Oryzias latipes: one gene and its partners. The protein of the gene in region 3 interacts with the protein of the main gene of each other region in a pairwise test. Links are inferred from orthologs where the notes say so. Each region holds a gene or a part of one and is shown on either strand. Other genes may lie near its edges.

Region 1 (5,111 bases), on a different chromosome or scaffold from region 3:
GCATGTAGGATTGTTATAATTTGTGTGCCTTGCCTCGCGCTGCAGGCGGGGTAAGATCAGCTGTTCCAGTAGGTGATCCAGGATCCACTGAGGCAGAAGAGGAGCCCACAACGTCACACAGTCCACCATCGGTCCAACCATACGGGGCTGCCACCCGGACACACACATACGCATCACAGGGATCCACACTTCCCATAAAAGTCTAAGCAAAGAGAGACACATGCAGTTAAAAATCAAAATGTGAACATTTACATGTAAAAGTGAGTATTTTAAACAGACCTGTGGTAAGGATCCATGTTGGAGTCTGGGCCACTGGAACGAAGATCCCTGGATTCAAGGATTGCTCTCCACTGACCAATGTCTTCCAGACAGTATGCACTGTCCTACAACAAAAAACAGTCTTAACTCTAGTATCTTAATTGAGCAACATGTTGAAAATAAGGTGTTTGTTTTCCCCCCCACAGAAATAAAAGCGTAATAATTTAATTAGAATAATTAAAAAAAAAAAACCTTTAGAGGCTCCCATGAGTGAAGTTTCTCCTTAAGTAAAGGATGAACAACTGCCACAGCCAGGTCTGCCAATCCCATCATTTTATACTCTTCATAATAATCTGTTTGTAAAGTCTCAAAGATCTGGGCACACTCCTGGGCACAGAGAGGTGAGAAAATAAACAAATAAGTATGTTCAAAATGATTAAATGTTAGAAGAATGGAGATTAAAAACCATTAGGAACAAATAAACTGCAAGATAAGTACATCTAGTTTGGGTATTTTCATGTGCCACGTACCTGAAGAGTCGGTCCCTCCCCTGGTGGCGTCTCTCCAGAGGGAAAACGCTCCACCAGTGCCAAAACAGCCTCCATTTTCTGGATGGCATCTTGCTCTGCTTCTAGTCTGCTCTGCAACGCACGGGACTCATGACTCAGAGAAACGACCACGTCCTTTTCATGCTGTAGACGTCTGGCCGACTACAAAAGAATAAATAAAGAGAGCAGAAGAAAAAAATTAAATCTGGAAGCCCACTTGAAACGGGTTAATAGTTGAAAATGATTTGAAAGAATTTCAGATTTTCCTCTGACCTGTAAAATGTCCTGTTCTGTGAGGTCGATCAGCAGCTGAAGATTATGCTCAAGCTCAGGGAGAGCGAAGCCGGAACCCTTCTGATCCCGTGTGGACATGGCTGGTGGGGTTTCATCGGGAACACTGTGTTTGTTGGCTATCTGACTGTAACTGTAGTAAACCTTTGGCTCTCTTACAGTCATATCTATAACCTAAATTTGAAGAGAGATAAAAACAATTAATAAAAAGAAAACTTGAATCATTTTACTTCCATGGCCATAAAAATCTTTCAATTTATTTCAGTTTTATGCTGAAAGGAGGAAATGTAAAAAAAAAAAAAAAAACAAGTAGATGCTTGTGAAGCTCTTTAAAATATTAAAGTTTGTGGTTTTTTTCATTGTTCTGACCCGAAATTAAAAGGACATAACGCAGGATTTTAACGCACCTTAACCTGCGCCAACTCTCCTGCAGATGCTGCCATGTTCCGAGAAACCATTTTGCCTTTAGCCCTCAGCTCATCTGCAGTTCTGTATGAGTATTTTGGTTTCTTCTTGACTGCGGAGCCCGCAGGATCCTTTCGCCACTGACCCAATTCTTTTTGAAACTCCTACAACAACACACATTACAGGAGAAAAACAAGAAGATAATTTCACAGTTAGCCCTCAATTCTTCAGATACACAATCACTGTGAAAACAAGATTATATGGAGTAAAGAACTGCTCGTGGCAAAATCTCACCTTTTCCTCCTCTTCTTCAGAGTCAACCACAGGGAAGTCCTGCAGACTCTGCTGGGTTCTCTCATTGCCATATGCACCTACAGCTCCTTTACCTTTACGGACCTTTGCCTCAATAGGGTTTACAATACCTACATAAACAAAACAGAGGCATGGCAATAAAATCTCTATTATTTTCCCTCTGAAATGCATGCAAAAGCACAATCGTGTACAGTACTTTTCCTCCTTTACGCTGCCTACCTTGAGCATTTTTTCCAAGCCCCTTTCCAGGCTGGTAACCCATTTTCTGCAGAAGCTTCTGTCCAATTCCTTTTGTGTGCTTCTCCCAGGTTCCAATACCCTGTCCAGATTGTATTCCACCAGCAAACCTCTGGGACTGATTCCCACGAAAATTACTCTGACAAAACAAAGAAATTATAGACGTCAGTTTAAAAAGAAAGCTTTTTTAGATAAAATATGTTCTTAAGCGAAACTTTACCATCTGAAGTTTTCTAGGTGCAATTCCACGAGTAGGAGGGGGAACTGCAGGGGCATCCTCTTCCGAATCATCAGAACCTTCTTCTTTGTCTTGCTGTTTCTCCTCGGCTGCAGTTTTACGTAGACCGGCACTAACAAAATTCACTGGGGTGCTGTAATCTTTCGACCTAAAGAAAATGTACACTGTTAACATCCTCTGCAAAAATTTTCACATTTAGACATCAGAGCATCAAACCTGTGAATTACCTCTTGCCACCAAAGCTGGGTCTCTCATCTTCATCTGAATCTTTGTCAGCCCAGATCCCATAAGTGGCCTGCTCCTTGGTCTGCCTAAACCTGCGGCGTTCTGGGTTAAACTCATTGGCCAGATCCCAGTCTGTCACCTCGAAGCTTTCGATCTCCACACCTTCTTCCTCTTCTTCCCTCCGCCCGTAAAGATGGGACATCGACATTTCTAGATAGAGACCCAATACAAAAAAAAATCATAAAAGCCATACAATTGAAAAACATTCAAGTTGCTTAAAAAATCGTACAACAGCATGAAACCACAGTCAGCAATGATTGCTAACGCTAGCTAAGCACGAAGCTAGCCACAAAACTGTTTCGGTCACAAACAATTATCAACATAAATATCAACTGTATTGCACATTTGTATGATTGAAAGCGTAAAAATACATTAAGAAGTTTCAAGCAAAAAGGTATTAACTAACAGAACTCAGATATTAATAATGCAAATGATGAGATTTTTTAGCGAAATCTAGCTAACGATAGTTGGGACATTAAATCCCATTACGACTGCAGAAACATTTCGAACTTGGAAAGTAGAAAGGCACTTAATACAAACAAAGCTTACTTGACAAGAAATAGTTTATACACTTAGAGATTAATTAAAACTCATTCTTGGCTGTCTGTAGCAAGAAGAGGTTATCTGTGTAGCTTTTCGTTCAACGCACGAACGTGGAAATACTTCCGGGTAAAGTCTGTCCGTCAGTACTGACGAATAAATGTTGTGACCTTAAAACTTTGAGATTTTACTTATTTTTATTTGTTTGCATTTACTAAAGATTTGTGTTGGTTTTTATATAAATTTCTCTAAGTTAAAACAGCAACACCACACATTTAGGTTAATAAATTATGTGATAAAAGCTTTTATTTTGGCGTTACACCGGAAGACAAATGTGTTACACTTAAAACCGTCCTACGCGCTGCTGATTTTGTGGCGGAGGTGATTAGGGTGTTTGTTTTTTAATTATTATCACTGTTTTTTTTTCACCCCTAACATTTTATTATAGATCGTTGAATGATGGGAATGAGATAAAAAAAATGTCTGAAAGTGAGTGGCAGGTCGCTCGGCGTCGAAAAGGGCAAACAAGGAAGTTTAAATCTCATGTGCCTTTAAGTTCCACCAGCGTCCAAGAAGACCAGCTTGATGTCGAGAAAGTTGTCAGACGGATCAGGACCACTGTGTAAGAAATAAAATAAAAAAAACGGAAAACCACTCATAAACATAGTTCATTGTGCCTTATCGAGGGGAAAACTAATTCTGATATCTCATTCTTTACTCTCTGTCTCATAGGACTGAGTTGAGATGCGAAGAGTTTTGGCACAAATGGAAAGGTAAGTAAAACATAACCAAATTTTTTAGACATGTTTTTTTTATTTAGTGTGTAATTGAATTGTAACTCTTATGTTCCTCGTCCTCAGATGAGCTGCTGATGGCATCCACAGCATCAGCATCTGCAGAGAAGGACGTCACTGAGGAGCATCTGAAGAACACAGGTGATCAGCTGGAGTGTGTGTGTTATGGCCTTGGCTCCTTTTCTTCTTGCACTGCAGCCCGGTATCAGCTTGCCATGCTGCTTCTGCTGCTGGAAGTATTACAGGTCAGAAGAGAGCATTAGACTATGTTCTAACAAACATGTGTTATGTTTGTTTTGAGTTGCTCATTTAGTTTTTTTTCTCCTAAAGGTTTCCTTAAGGGATTGCTTGGTTTATGATCCCATATTCTCCTCTGGAGAGCAGGATGTCTTGAGGGAGCTGGGAATGACTGTACTCACAGAAAACGAGGTCATGTCAATTGTTTTTCTTTTTGCACTTCTAGAGAACAAACTGCTGATGTTATCACCGTAACTGAGATCTAAACAGACTAAAGTATCCGCTGTTTTATTTAGGAGGGGAAGCGTCTGGTGACCAAGCCCACTCTTTTTTATCTCATGCACTGTGGGAAGGCTCTGTACAACAACCTACTGTGGAAAAACTGGAGCTTACGGGGATTATACCAGCTTGTAATCATTGGAAACAGCTTCAATGGTATGAGGGAAAGGTTCGTAGAAAACACTGATGATGGAGCGCATCGTTTTTAGCAAACAGAGATGAAATAATGTCCTCTGTCTGTTGCAGAACGGTGGAAAGAGTGTTCAAACAGGAATACAGCTACATCAGTAAAGCTGTGGACCTCTGTGAGGAAAAAATGCTGCCTTGTCCTTCTCACATGATAGATGTCTTCAGTGATACGGCAGTCATTGCTTTTCCTCCCCACATCTTACACAAAGTGCCACAGACTAACTGGGCTGAGTCACCTGAACCTGAATACAGAGACCGCCAGGATTTGGAGATAATCCTGAAGGAAACTCAGAGCTGACTGGACTTCATTGAAATAAAATTTTGATATAAATTTTCAAACATGTAGGAAACTATTATGTTCAGATTTTTCACAAAACGAAAGTGGAACATTACAAATCAAGCCAATTAGTTAAAGATGGTTTTCTTCATGTATATGGCGTTATAGTACTTTCCATTTTTTTAGAACTTTATCCCCTTTCGCAACACTTCTAGCAACTT
Region 2 (5,111 bases), on a different chromosome or scaffold from region 3:
AGATACAGTCAATAAATGCACATTTATTATTATAATGCTTTCAAAGACTATTTGCAAAAGTTGTTTCCGCACATGGCTGGGGCCTTGAGGACACCAAAGGGGAAAAAAAACCCACTGCACTGACCTGGGCGTGGTCTGTTTAAATCTGGCGCCACCCCGTTTTGTCAAGTATTTTAAAATAGAGGCAAATAGACTTTCAAAATAAAGGCACTGAAGAAATAAGCACTATGAGAAAAAAGAACATAGCGTAGCAATGCCACTTAGTTATTAGCACTGCTGCAATGCTAATGCTACTTAATTAATCTATAAGTAGTGTCATCAATGACAGACTTTTTTGTTGTTCTGTTCTTACATAAATTATTAACTTTTTTATGTTTTTAATTATGCAAGTTACCTTGACAAAAAGTATTTAATTTAAATGTACTACAAGTAGCTTATACTTAGTTAATACTAAAAGTGAGGCAGTATGTTTGACATTTGCTTTTTATATACTGTCTATATATTGCACATGTAAATCGTTTCAGTTAATATACTTCCTATACATGCACATGGTTTAGTATACTTGCTATACCAATACTCAAGTATGCTTGAAAAAAAATCAAGGATACTACTTTTTTCCAGGGGTTGCTCATAGCTGTGATGTGCCTCATATTTAGTGTAAACCTCTCCATTTTCAGATTTCTCTAAAAGTTTGTTTGTAGGCTACTCAGAGCCAAACTTTGTGTTTTTATTTTATCTACCGTGTGTTTGGTATATTTCTGTAGCTCAACCTTGAGTAACCTCTAGTATAACCTCAAGGTTGTGCTAAAGAACTTTTAGGTCTACAAAGAGGGCAAATATTTTTGATCTTTTTTCCTACTTAATGAAAACAAATATATTGTTGGTTCCCATACAAGCATTCAAGCATTTGCCTTTGATATTTATTTTACCCTCATAGGGTGACATTTATGTGTCCCCCTTCTCTCTCTCTTTTTTTTTTTTTTTTTACACATTATTAGATAAAAAATTTAAATACATGAGAAAAATTGGTGGCCATATTCTAGAATAAATCATACTGGAAAATCTATGTGTTTAGAATGGTTAAAATTATGATAAGTTGTCATCTGGTTAGTAGTTTTCTTAATCAGATTTTTATTGGCATGTAAATATGCCTACTGGTGAGGCTGATCATATGTTCACTATTTTCTTTTTTTCATTTATTGATTTGACAATACTATTCAGAAAATATTTCCTTTCTCTATTGACTACCTCTCTCTCAATATTTGAAGATTGAAGATAAAAGAAAAAGGCTTTAATTTTGAAATCCGATTCTGCCGGAAATCACACTTAACCATTTGGCTTTACGGAGCCTGCGCAAAGCTGCGGGCTCCTCCGCCTGTCCTGTGTGTTTCCACTGTTGTTTGAAGCAAGCGGAGAGAAAACTGAGATTTTTTTCTCTGTTTTAAAGCATAAAACAATTAAGTTTCGGTTTATTTCACTCTGTGATAGAAAAAAGACAAATAGAAAAGGAGGGAAAAGCTGTAAAATACGAGGTCAGACAAGGAAAGAGGCGGAGAGGAGGACTGGGAGGAGAGATTTAGCTCAGTGGAAAAATGCTACGGATTTGATAAAAGGTAAGAAAATCCTCCATGTCGATACTTTATTGATCCCAAAGAGGTCGATGCGGGGCGGTTAGAGGCTGCGGCGAGGGTTGGGGGAGCTACAGCCGCAGGAGCGGCGAGCTGCGGTTTCCACATGTAGGTCATTGTGTCTGTGGGTCTCAACCAGAGAAAAACTGAGCCAAACCGTGCCGGGGGTCCTGCAGCCGCAGCCGAGCTAAGGCCAGGCCGCAGGGGGAGGACGAAGCCCCGCAGCTGGACTGAGTCGCTCCTCCTGACTCCTAATCCTGCCAAAAGATACAGGCCTTCATCAAATGTAATGACCCAGTTTCTCTTAGCAGCACTAAAATACTGATGGAGCTGCTGCATTCAGGGACGAACAGGAAAAAAGAAACGCTAAGAACGCAGCAATAACTAATGTCTAAAAAGTTAACTTTTTAGATCATTAACAATACTTCTAACTCTAAATGTGTTTACATTTAAAATATATATTTTAATTAAAGAAAAGAAGCACATACAGAGATTTTATTAAGTAAAACACACATCAAGAGTAAAAAGTTTGATCAGATTTCACAGATTAACTTTCTTTTACTCATCTTTCCGGTAGTCTTTTAATAATGAGTTTGTCTTTTTTTCCTAAATTAAAAACAAACAAACATGTAGTTCAGTAGAAATTCGCCTCTTAGTTGACACAGAGTGAGCCTGCCCTCACTTTCCCATCATCCATCTGTTGACATGCTCTCCCGCTGGCCTACAGCCCCCCCAAAAAAACCCCACTGGTGCAGCAAAAATGGCGAGCAATATCGTTGCTACCCAGCTGTGCAGTTATGAGCCAGATGTTGACTCGTACAAGGAAAGCAAAGACGAACGTGGATCTATTTGTCTCCAAGTGGATCCATCAGAATGGAGCAGAGCAGGATGCTTGGGGGGGGCTTGCCATTGTTGTTCAAACTGCATTTTGTTTCGTCTGCTCTTAAATCACGATTTAAAAAAAACAAACAAACTCAGAAATGCAATTTGAAGCTTAATTTTCTTTTTATATATTTGTCCGTCATCATCAGAAAAATGCCACAAGAACATGTTCAAAACAGCATTTTCTTTGGAGTGAGTCTTTAACAAACACGGTGATGTTACAACAACCCATAAACAAACGTGGCACACATTTATACTTATGTTTAACAGTAGACAATAAACACAAAAAGGACAAAGACAGGAAAGGAGAACAGTGGGAGTCGACTGAGGTTCCATTCATTCGTTTTTTCATTTATCCATTGTCGTATTTGGGTAGAAGTCTATGGTCATATTCATACATATTTATATTAAGTGATTCGTCATTAAACAACATCAAACTTGAACATTCAAGTATAATTGTTTCCACTCTGTTGTTAAAAATATCCATCCCAATATGAATGAAGGAGGTAAGTTTGTTTTAGTTTAGTTTTGCGTTCTGTTATTGTTGATGCTTTGAAATTGTCCAGTTAATTGTGATCATTTTTCTTGTACTTCCTAATAATATATATAATACATCATCTATATTATATATAAAGCAGTATATTTGAAGGCATTACCTTTTTAAGTAACAGTATTTTTTCGATTACCTCTTCATATTTGATCCAATTATTGGATAGGCCAGTCCCAATTGGACAATTGGACAGTCCAAATTATATTTATCTGGGATTTTTCACTTTTCTTTCGTTGTGTCCATGACCAAGGTAGTGTCTCTTTGCAGCAACATATAAAAGAATTTATTTGTTATTCCTTTTTTATTTATTTCATAAAGACTGTGCAAAGAAAACAGCAGTTAGAAGATGAGAACTTAAACGATAGGAATGTGCTGATTTACTGCGCGAAGCGAGGCGCGCATCATCAGGCAGTGAATTTAAGGCTGAATTGAAGCCAACGCTCTCAATCTACTGGGAGTAAAGCCAACGCTGAGAAAATGGCACAATCCCTGTCATGTTCATGTAACGCTTCAGCTGGGATTTGCAGTGTCTGCAGCACGACATACTGTCTTAAAGTTGGGAGTTTAAGTAAACATTCAGGTTTTTCTTAAAGTTTCTATCAGCCTGTTGTTTGGCGATCTGCTGTTCTTTGAAGCCGAGGAGAAGTGTTGGACTTTCTGATGAGTTTGAGGAAGCCAGATGGTAGTTCATTCGGATATTTTTTATAAAACGGTCAGGAAAACCAAGTAAAAATAGGTTTCTTTTATTTCCAGATGTCTGCCGTCAGCATGGAAGCAACAATCATCCTCCCCATCCTCAAGAAGAAGCTGGCCTTTCTGTCAGGTAGCACGCATGCGCATGCAGAGGGGAGGTGGGTAGGCCTGTGGTTTTCTGAGCAAACAACCTCACTGCATCTTGTCTTTGAAAGGCGGCAAAGACCGGCGCAGCGGTCTGATCCTGACCATCCCCCTCAATTCAGATCAGACCAGCATGGAGGAGCTCAGTGCCACTTTGGACTACCTGCTCAGCATCCCAAGGTGCGTCTAGTCTGTGAGCGCTTCTGCTCCCTGTAGCCGTCCCATTCGAGCTTTACCCGGTCAAGTTTGGGTTTATGTTGCTCTCAGAAAAGCTGCTGGGTGTAAATACAGTGAAATGTTTTGCACTGTTGTGTGTTTTGCCTGAACTTTCAATTTTTCCTTGTAATTTTTCCCCCTTTTTAGGAATCCAGCATCTATTTAAAACCATTTTGTTCCCTAAAAACTTGTATAATTGTTGTCTGAGAATTTCCTCCTATTAGGTTTTAATTTTTGGGGGGTTTATTTCCTGGTTGATTCTTTTCATTAACTTTTGACTTGCTTTATTTTAGTTTTAGAAATGTCAATCTAGAAGCACTTTTATTGATCACTCAACCCATAAGAACCCAGACGCTTTTTCTTTTTTTTTAAATTTTACTTATTTTATTTAACCTCCAATTGAGATCAGATCTTTTTTTCAAGGGAGAACTGGTCCAAAAGGCACCATCACAATAAAAACATTCCGATTAATCAATAAATTATAAATATACAATTTGAATAAAACTTCTGTGGGAACTACCACAGACCAAGTGGTTACCATGGATACCGATGGGTTAAGTTCTTCCAAAAGTAGAAATTGTTGACAACTATTAAAGGTTTTCCACGTGTTTTAGTAAGTATCAGTAAATGTCCAGTACAAATTTGAAAAAATAATAAGTTCAACAAATCATTAGACACAGAAGAATATAAGGGAGCGACAAAAGTCCTCCTTATCCTAAAAAGGCTGCTCTGAAGGATAAAATTCCCCTCTTGACGTTTCTTGGAACTGTGCTGTAACTCCACTTGTCATCCAGTGTTATTATGGCTTTAGGAGCCAACATTTAGCATCTGAGCTGGCTTTAAAACAGCATTGCCTGTAGAGTTGCAGTGATTACTAAATGAAAGCCTGTCCTGATGGAACCAGCACAAACCAGTGCAGAAACTGCAGAGGAACGACCCACATCTCAGTCCATTCTCACAACAGCAGGGTGTTATTGGCACTATTTTCTGCTTTACTT
Region 3 (5,111 bases):
TTTATTGTTTGCCTTGTTTTTGGATTTATACATTTTTATTTTGTCTCTACACATTTGATGTTTGCTATAAAACATACAAGCTGATCTCAATGAATTTATTATTTTTCCTGTAAAAAATAACTAAAGAATTAACGAAAAAAATAATGTTAAAAAGATTCTTGCCCAAAAAACCTATTTAAATAAATGAATAAGGCAAACTGTATGGTAGAATACTTAGGGTTAAGCGAATCTCACACTGAAGAACTGTATTTGAGCCATCTATGTTCTGAAGAAACTTCTAAACGTTCCCTACCTCGGATCTGCGAGCTGCTAGCAAAACTTGCAGACACAGAAGGTCCTGGAGCGTAGCTGGATGGATGCTGGGCCTGAGCTACGCCGTACGCCTCGTGGACTCCTTGTCCTCCACTGAACTGTCCATGTTCTGCTGAGCCAGAGCTGAATCCCCCCGTTTGAAAATGCCGTCCCTAGAGATAAGCCAGAGGAAGTGAGAAAACCTGGGAAAAAGAGTGACTTGATTGACAACATTTGATTGACATTTTCCACAAAAAAAAATGTTTTGTGTAGTTGCTAGGCCACCAAAAAAAATTATTTTTCATACACAGTGGGATAAACACTTTAAAAATATATTTTCTGTATTAAAAAGCTGGTTTGGAATTTAGGTAGGGCTTTAGACTCTGACAAAAAGTTGTTAAAAACAGAGTTTCAGCGGTGAACCTTCCATTAACTTACTTTTATTTTCAAAATAAAATAGCTATAAACATGATAAATAGAAGTGCTCGAAAAAGGAGTGGGTACAAGGAAAATCTTATTAATTCCCACCACCAATCTTACTATATTTAATACATACATTTTTACTAATAAAAATTAAAAACATAAAATAACTGAAGGGGAAAAAATAAATAAAAGCATCTAGGAACCAAACATCACATTTCTCCTTTTCTAATTTATACATTTCCAAAATGTTCAGGTTGCACTTTTTTCTCCATTGTGTTTATCATTTTTACTCATTTTCACAGACAGAAATGTTGACTTTTTTGGGCTGTCCGTACACAAGGTTGTTTAAAGAATATCCTCCTTCCTTGTTCTTAAACAGTTTTGTTCTGTGGAGGTGGTTTTGTTTTAGCTTGATACATTTTTTTTGATTTAGAGAATAAAATGTTCATAATAGTCCACTTTATTATTTTTGGTTATATGCAAAGTGGCTATACGCAGGTTTTGTAGGCATTACTCGGGTTAGAACCGAAGTAAAGCAAAGCAGCTTGGCCCAGGCTTTTCCAAACAACAGAACTAAGTAAAGAACTTAACAAGACGTTTTTTTAACAGCCCACTTGTACTTACAGGGATCACGGTTGTTGTGTACAACTGTTTGTTTCTTTCTCCAAGTAGTGCTCCAGCTCGACTGTGGCTCACTGGACTACCTACCCTCAAAAAAAGAAATAAATAAACAAACAAAATGATCTTAGTGCTGAAATTAGCTAACAAAACATACAACCTTTTTATGAAATGTGTATTCATGGTTTAGTAGCTCACCTTGAATATTAAGGAGGTGCTGTCCTGTGTGCATGGGCAGGCTCTGTTGGTAACTGGCAGATGTCAGCGTTGTTATATCACTGATAACAGAAGGAGGCGCAAAATTACAAGAGGCATCATTCGTGGACTAAACAACTGTTGAATGAAAATACCTCTGCTCCTTTCTGCGCCTCTTCTCCTCCTCATGGAGAACCTTTTTGAGTTGCAGAAACAGCTGATGCTTTTCTTCTTGAAGTCCCTGAAGTTTTTCTCCCATTTTCATCACCTGACATCAGGGGAGAAATGTCATTAAAAGGAAGAACTAAAGAGTCAGTTAAAAATCCTAAAATAAGGGTCATCTTTGATGGCAGGTGCTCACCTGTTCTTTGGTTTCCTCTAATGACATCCTTTCCTCTATTTCTTTGGTTCTTTTCCTCTCCTCCTCCTCCTTCAGCTTTTGCTCCATCATTTTATCCACCTCCTCTTCCTCTGAAAGGTTACAGGGACAAGATTTAGCATCACCTGTAACACTTTCACACATCTGAAACATGATAAAGTTACTTGTAATGATAATTGTCAAGAAGGTCAGAGACAGATTTTAGAGACCCACTCCAATGAAAATTATATGTTTGGTATTTTAAACATGTTCTTGTGGCCTTTTTTTTTCATGATAGAGGAGATATATAATTTTTTTTTTATTCAAATCATTGTGAATCAGGAGTAGATGTAAAAACGTCATTGTAAAAAGCTCACAGTTTTGACATAGACCCAACAGCAAGCCACAAGCAGCCTGCTCTGCTCCATTATGAGGCCTCCACTTGGAGGCAAAAAAAATCCATGTGAGGTACTGTTGTTCTGCAAAAACTACGTCCTAGAAAACGATACAGACTTTTTGATTTAGCCTAAAACCGGCAGAATCATAATAAACTGGCCACTGGGAACGCTTTTAAAACAGATCAAGATTTGATTGGAGTGGGCCTTAAATGAAATCTCCTAGAAAATCAAAGAAGAATGATTATTTCTGTTCGGTTAACTTACTTCTCCTTTTCATTTGATGACACTGACCTTGTCTTTTGCGCTCCCTCTCCCTCATGATGTGCTTGTGGAGGGCTCTGGCCATCGCGTTGGACAGTTTCGGTCTCTCCAACAAGGCAGGCATGGTCACTGGTAACGGAGGGGCCAGCTGTTTTAAAGTTCAGAGGTTTAGTATAAGTGGGCTAAAAAGACTCAAGTAATTTTACTGAAAATTGAACTAAATAAACCTTTTAATCTGTTTTGGAAGGGTTTATACCGAGCCATGACCTAGCTTAATTTAAACAAGTACTGCGTGATGCTAGCCTGAACAAGGATAAGACGGCAAAATCTTTAAAAATAATAAACCCGCTAATCTAGCAGCAAAATTTAACATGAATGTTTGTGATAAGTAAGATACGTCCAAGACAAACATGCGTATATCTGTGTGCAAAAAGACCCAATTGTTAGCTAAAGTTAGCCACACCAGCTAAACAAATAAGTGCGCGACGGAGTTTATACTATATTATTTTAATGCTTGCTAACAGCTAATTTATTTCAGAAAAGATGCTTACTTTTATCGTTAATGTTGCCGTTTTTAAGAACCAGACTGTGTCGCCTTTTGTAATATCTACCTTTTTGCTTTTATCCGGCAAAACTTTCGGCCGCGAATATAAACAGAGGTTTTAGGACCGGGGGAAAGAGTTCTACTTCCGGTTAAAAGACACGGCTGCCCCATTTGCATCATGGGAATTTGCGTTTCAATGTGGAGTTTAAATTCAGACCAACACTTTTAGATCTTCTAAATCTAGCTTAAGTGGATTTCAGAAGTCACATTTTGAACTACAGAATTTAAAAACAGTATTAATTGTAAAATAAAAATGTTGCACTCATATTTTTAAATTTAAGTTAGCCTATATTTTGTAATAAGGACATTCCAATGCCCCCATTTTTTAATAACTTTCTCTATATTTACAGACTATATATATAACCTTTTTTTTATACTAACAGCCACGTACTTCTAAAATCAAAAGACCAAACTTACCTAGGTTTATCAAGAGAGATAAAATACTTTAAACATATTCCTATTTTTCTTTTGTATGTTTTGTTTAACTTTCATATCAAAGATAGGCAACAGTTTTTCCATTTAGGACTAGATCCCACCTTTTTTTAATGACCTTTTAATCTTAATGTAATTTTTTTACTATCCAGTAAAATCATCAGACCATAAAAAAAGTCAGGAAACAAATATCAACTTTCATAACATTTTATCATATACGATCATGAGTGGAGAGAAAGAGCCATTAATGCAGCCGTATACAGAGTTCTACTGTAAATCCTTTTTAAAAAATAAGAAACTTAAAAAGAAAATTACACTCAGCTTTACAACTTCTTTAGAAAGTGAGCCACCTAAAATTAACAATAATAACAACAATAATCATATTAGCTGTCAAAATAATTTTACCACTGAAAGCAGAGAATGATTGAGCAGTCTGAATCCTATTATAGTCCTCGCAAAGATTAAATATGAGGAAGGAAATACTAGTGTTTTGGGATTTAACAATTTAATAAAAATAAAGCTTACCGTGACCTCTTTAAATTTAAAATAAAATAAATCAAAAGGAAAAAAAAAAAAGATCACTACCGCTGGCAGCACTATCACTATTCTTTTGAAAATTATTGACTTTAAAACATAAACCAAAATCTTTTTCATCATCAAAGTCTTGTCAAAATTTGACAAGCACTATTTATACTTATTACCAGGCAGGGGTCAATTTAACTCAACAAATTCTGCCTCTGTTTTCTGCACTCAGAAGTAAATACAAGCGCATAGCGGTTGAGATTTTATTTTCACTTTTCTTTATCAGGCATTCTGTGGAGTACGATTCCCAAAAACCAAACCAGAGAAGGCAAATACAATTCAGACTGCAAAATAGAAAAAGTCATAAATGAATATGTAAAAGATTGTGTTTGTGAGAAGTGAAAGTGCAGATGACATTTACTCTGGGAACTCTACACTGCCAAGCTGGATTTTACTTTTTAAATGAATGAATGACAAAGGTCTCAGAAAGGTGGTTGAAGGGGATCACATTTCCCTTTGGCTGTTCCCATACACACTCTCATCACTGTAGGCAATGTAGAGGAAAAAGTCCTCTTCGTGGTGCTCCTGAGGAAATCAAATAGAGTAAAATAAGAGGAACAGAGGAAATACTTTCAGTAACAGTTAAAAATTCAGTGAGTTAGACTCTTGCCTGGTACAACAGTCCCATGGTTGCTGAGGTGGGAGGAATGACGTTGTTTACAAAGAAGAAGAGAGCATCCTCTGCTCTTAAGTGGATTCTTTTCCGGATGAGGAAGTAAAACTGGCCCACTTAAAAAAAAAAAAAAAAGAAAATACAATTTCTTATACAACGGTAAAAAGTGAACCGTACTTTTTTCTTTTTCTTTTAAAAGAGTGATATGTTTACCTGTTAAGTCAGAAGGGACAAGGTATTTTTTCTTGTCCAGATCTCCTATTCTAGCCTTGGGGGCTTTCTCCACAATAACCTGAAGAAAAAAGAAAAAAAATTAAAGCAGCATTTCCACAACAG

Evidence for each region.
Region 1: the proteins of gps2 (region 3) and tfip11 interact in binary tests that used the Homo sapiens proteins (3 or more experiments, as listed by UniProt). The two-hybrid records come from large-scale screens. The link is inferred for Oryzias latipes from reciprocal best matches to the Homo sapiens genes GPS2 and TFIP11.
Region 2: the proteins of gps2 (region 3) and sestd1 interact in binary tests that used the Homo sapiens proteins (3 or more experiments, as listed by UniProt). The two-hybrid records come from large-scale screens. The link is inferred for Oryzias latipes from reciprocal best matches to the Homo sapiens genes GPS2 and SESTD1.

What each region holds. Positions count from the first base shown.
Region 1 is NC_019867.2:13,548,168-13,553,278, reverse strand, and holds the start of tfip11 (tuftelin-interacting protein 11), read right to left. Parts: upstream 3,253-5,111; 5' UTR 3,124-3,252; intron 2,725-3,123; 5' UTR 2,723-2,724; coding exon 2,517-2,722; intron 2,438-2,516; coding exon 2,272-2,437; intron 2,191-2,271; coding exon 2,034-2,190; intron 1,925-2,033; coding exon 1,797-1,924; intron 1,667-1,796; coding exon 1,505-1,666; intron 1,272-1,504; coding exon 1,080-1,271; intron 969-1,079; coding exon 789-968; intron 646-788; coding exon 511-645; intron 384-510; coding exon 280-383; intron 203-279; coding exon 34-202; intron 1-33. Other genes in the region: srrd (SRR1-like protein), read left to right, coding at 3,594-3,736, 3,847-3,887, 3,975-4,153, 4,239-4,337, 4,442-4,593, 4,671-4,911. UniProt on the Homo sapiens protein: Involved in pre-mRNA splicing, specifically in spliceosome disassembly during late-stage splicing events. Intron turnover seems to proceed through reactions in two lariat-intron associated complexes termed Intron Large (IL) and Intron Small (IS).
Region 2 is NC_019879.2:6,611,527-6,616,637, reverse strand, and holds the start of sestd1 (SEC14 domain and spectrin repeat-containing protein 1), read left to right. Parts: upstream 1-1,331; 5' UTR 1,332-1,613; intron 1,614-3,813; coding exon 3,814-3,883; intron 3,884-3,968; coding exon 3,969-4,077; intron 4,078-5,111. UniProt on the Homo sapiens protein: May act as the primary docking protein directing membrane turnover and assembly of the transient receptor potential channels TRPC4 and TRPC5.
Region 3 is NC_019876.2:14,445,891-14,451,001, reverse strand, and holds the start of gps2 (G protein pathway suppressor 2), read right to left. Parts: upstream 3,263-5,111; 5' UTR 3,156-3,262; exon of another isoform or gene 3,096-3,155; intron 2,693-3,095; 5' UTR 2,669-2,692; coding exon 2,548-2,668; intron 1,999-2,547; coding exon 1,889-1,998; intron 1,796-1,888; coding exon 1,683-1,795; intron 1,611-1,682; coding exon 1,531-1,610; intron 1,419-1,530; coding exon 1,339-1,418; intron 465-1,338; coding exon 293-464; intron 1-292. Other genes in the region: gabarap (gamma-aminobutyric acid receptor-associated protein), read right to left, coding at 4,607-4,687, 4,773-4,891, 4,989-5,067. UniProt on the Homo sapiens protein: Key regulator of inflammation, lipid metabolism and mitochondrion homeostasis that acts by inhibiting the activity of the ubiquitin-conjugating enzyme UBE2N/Ubc13, thereby inhibiting 'Lys-63'-linked ubiquitination.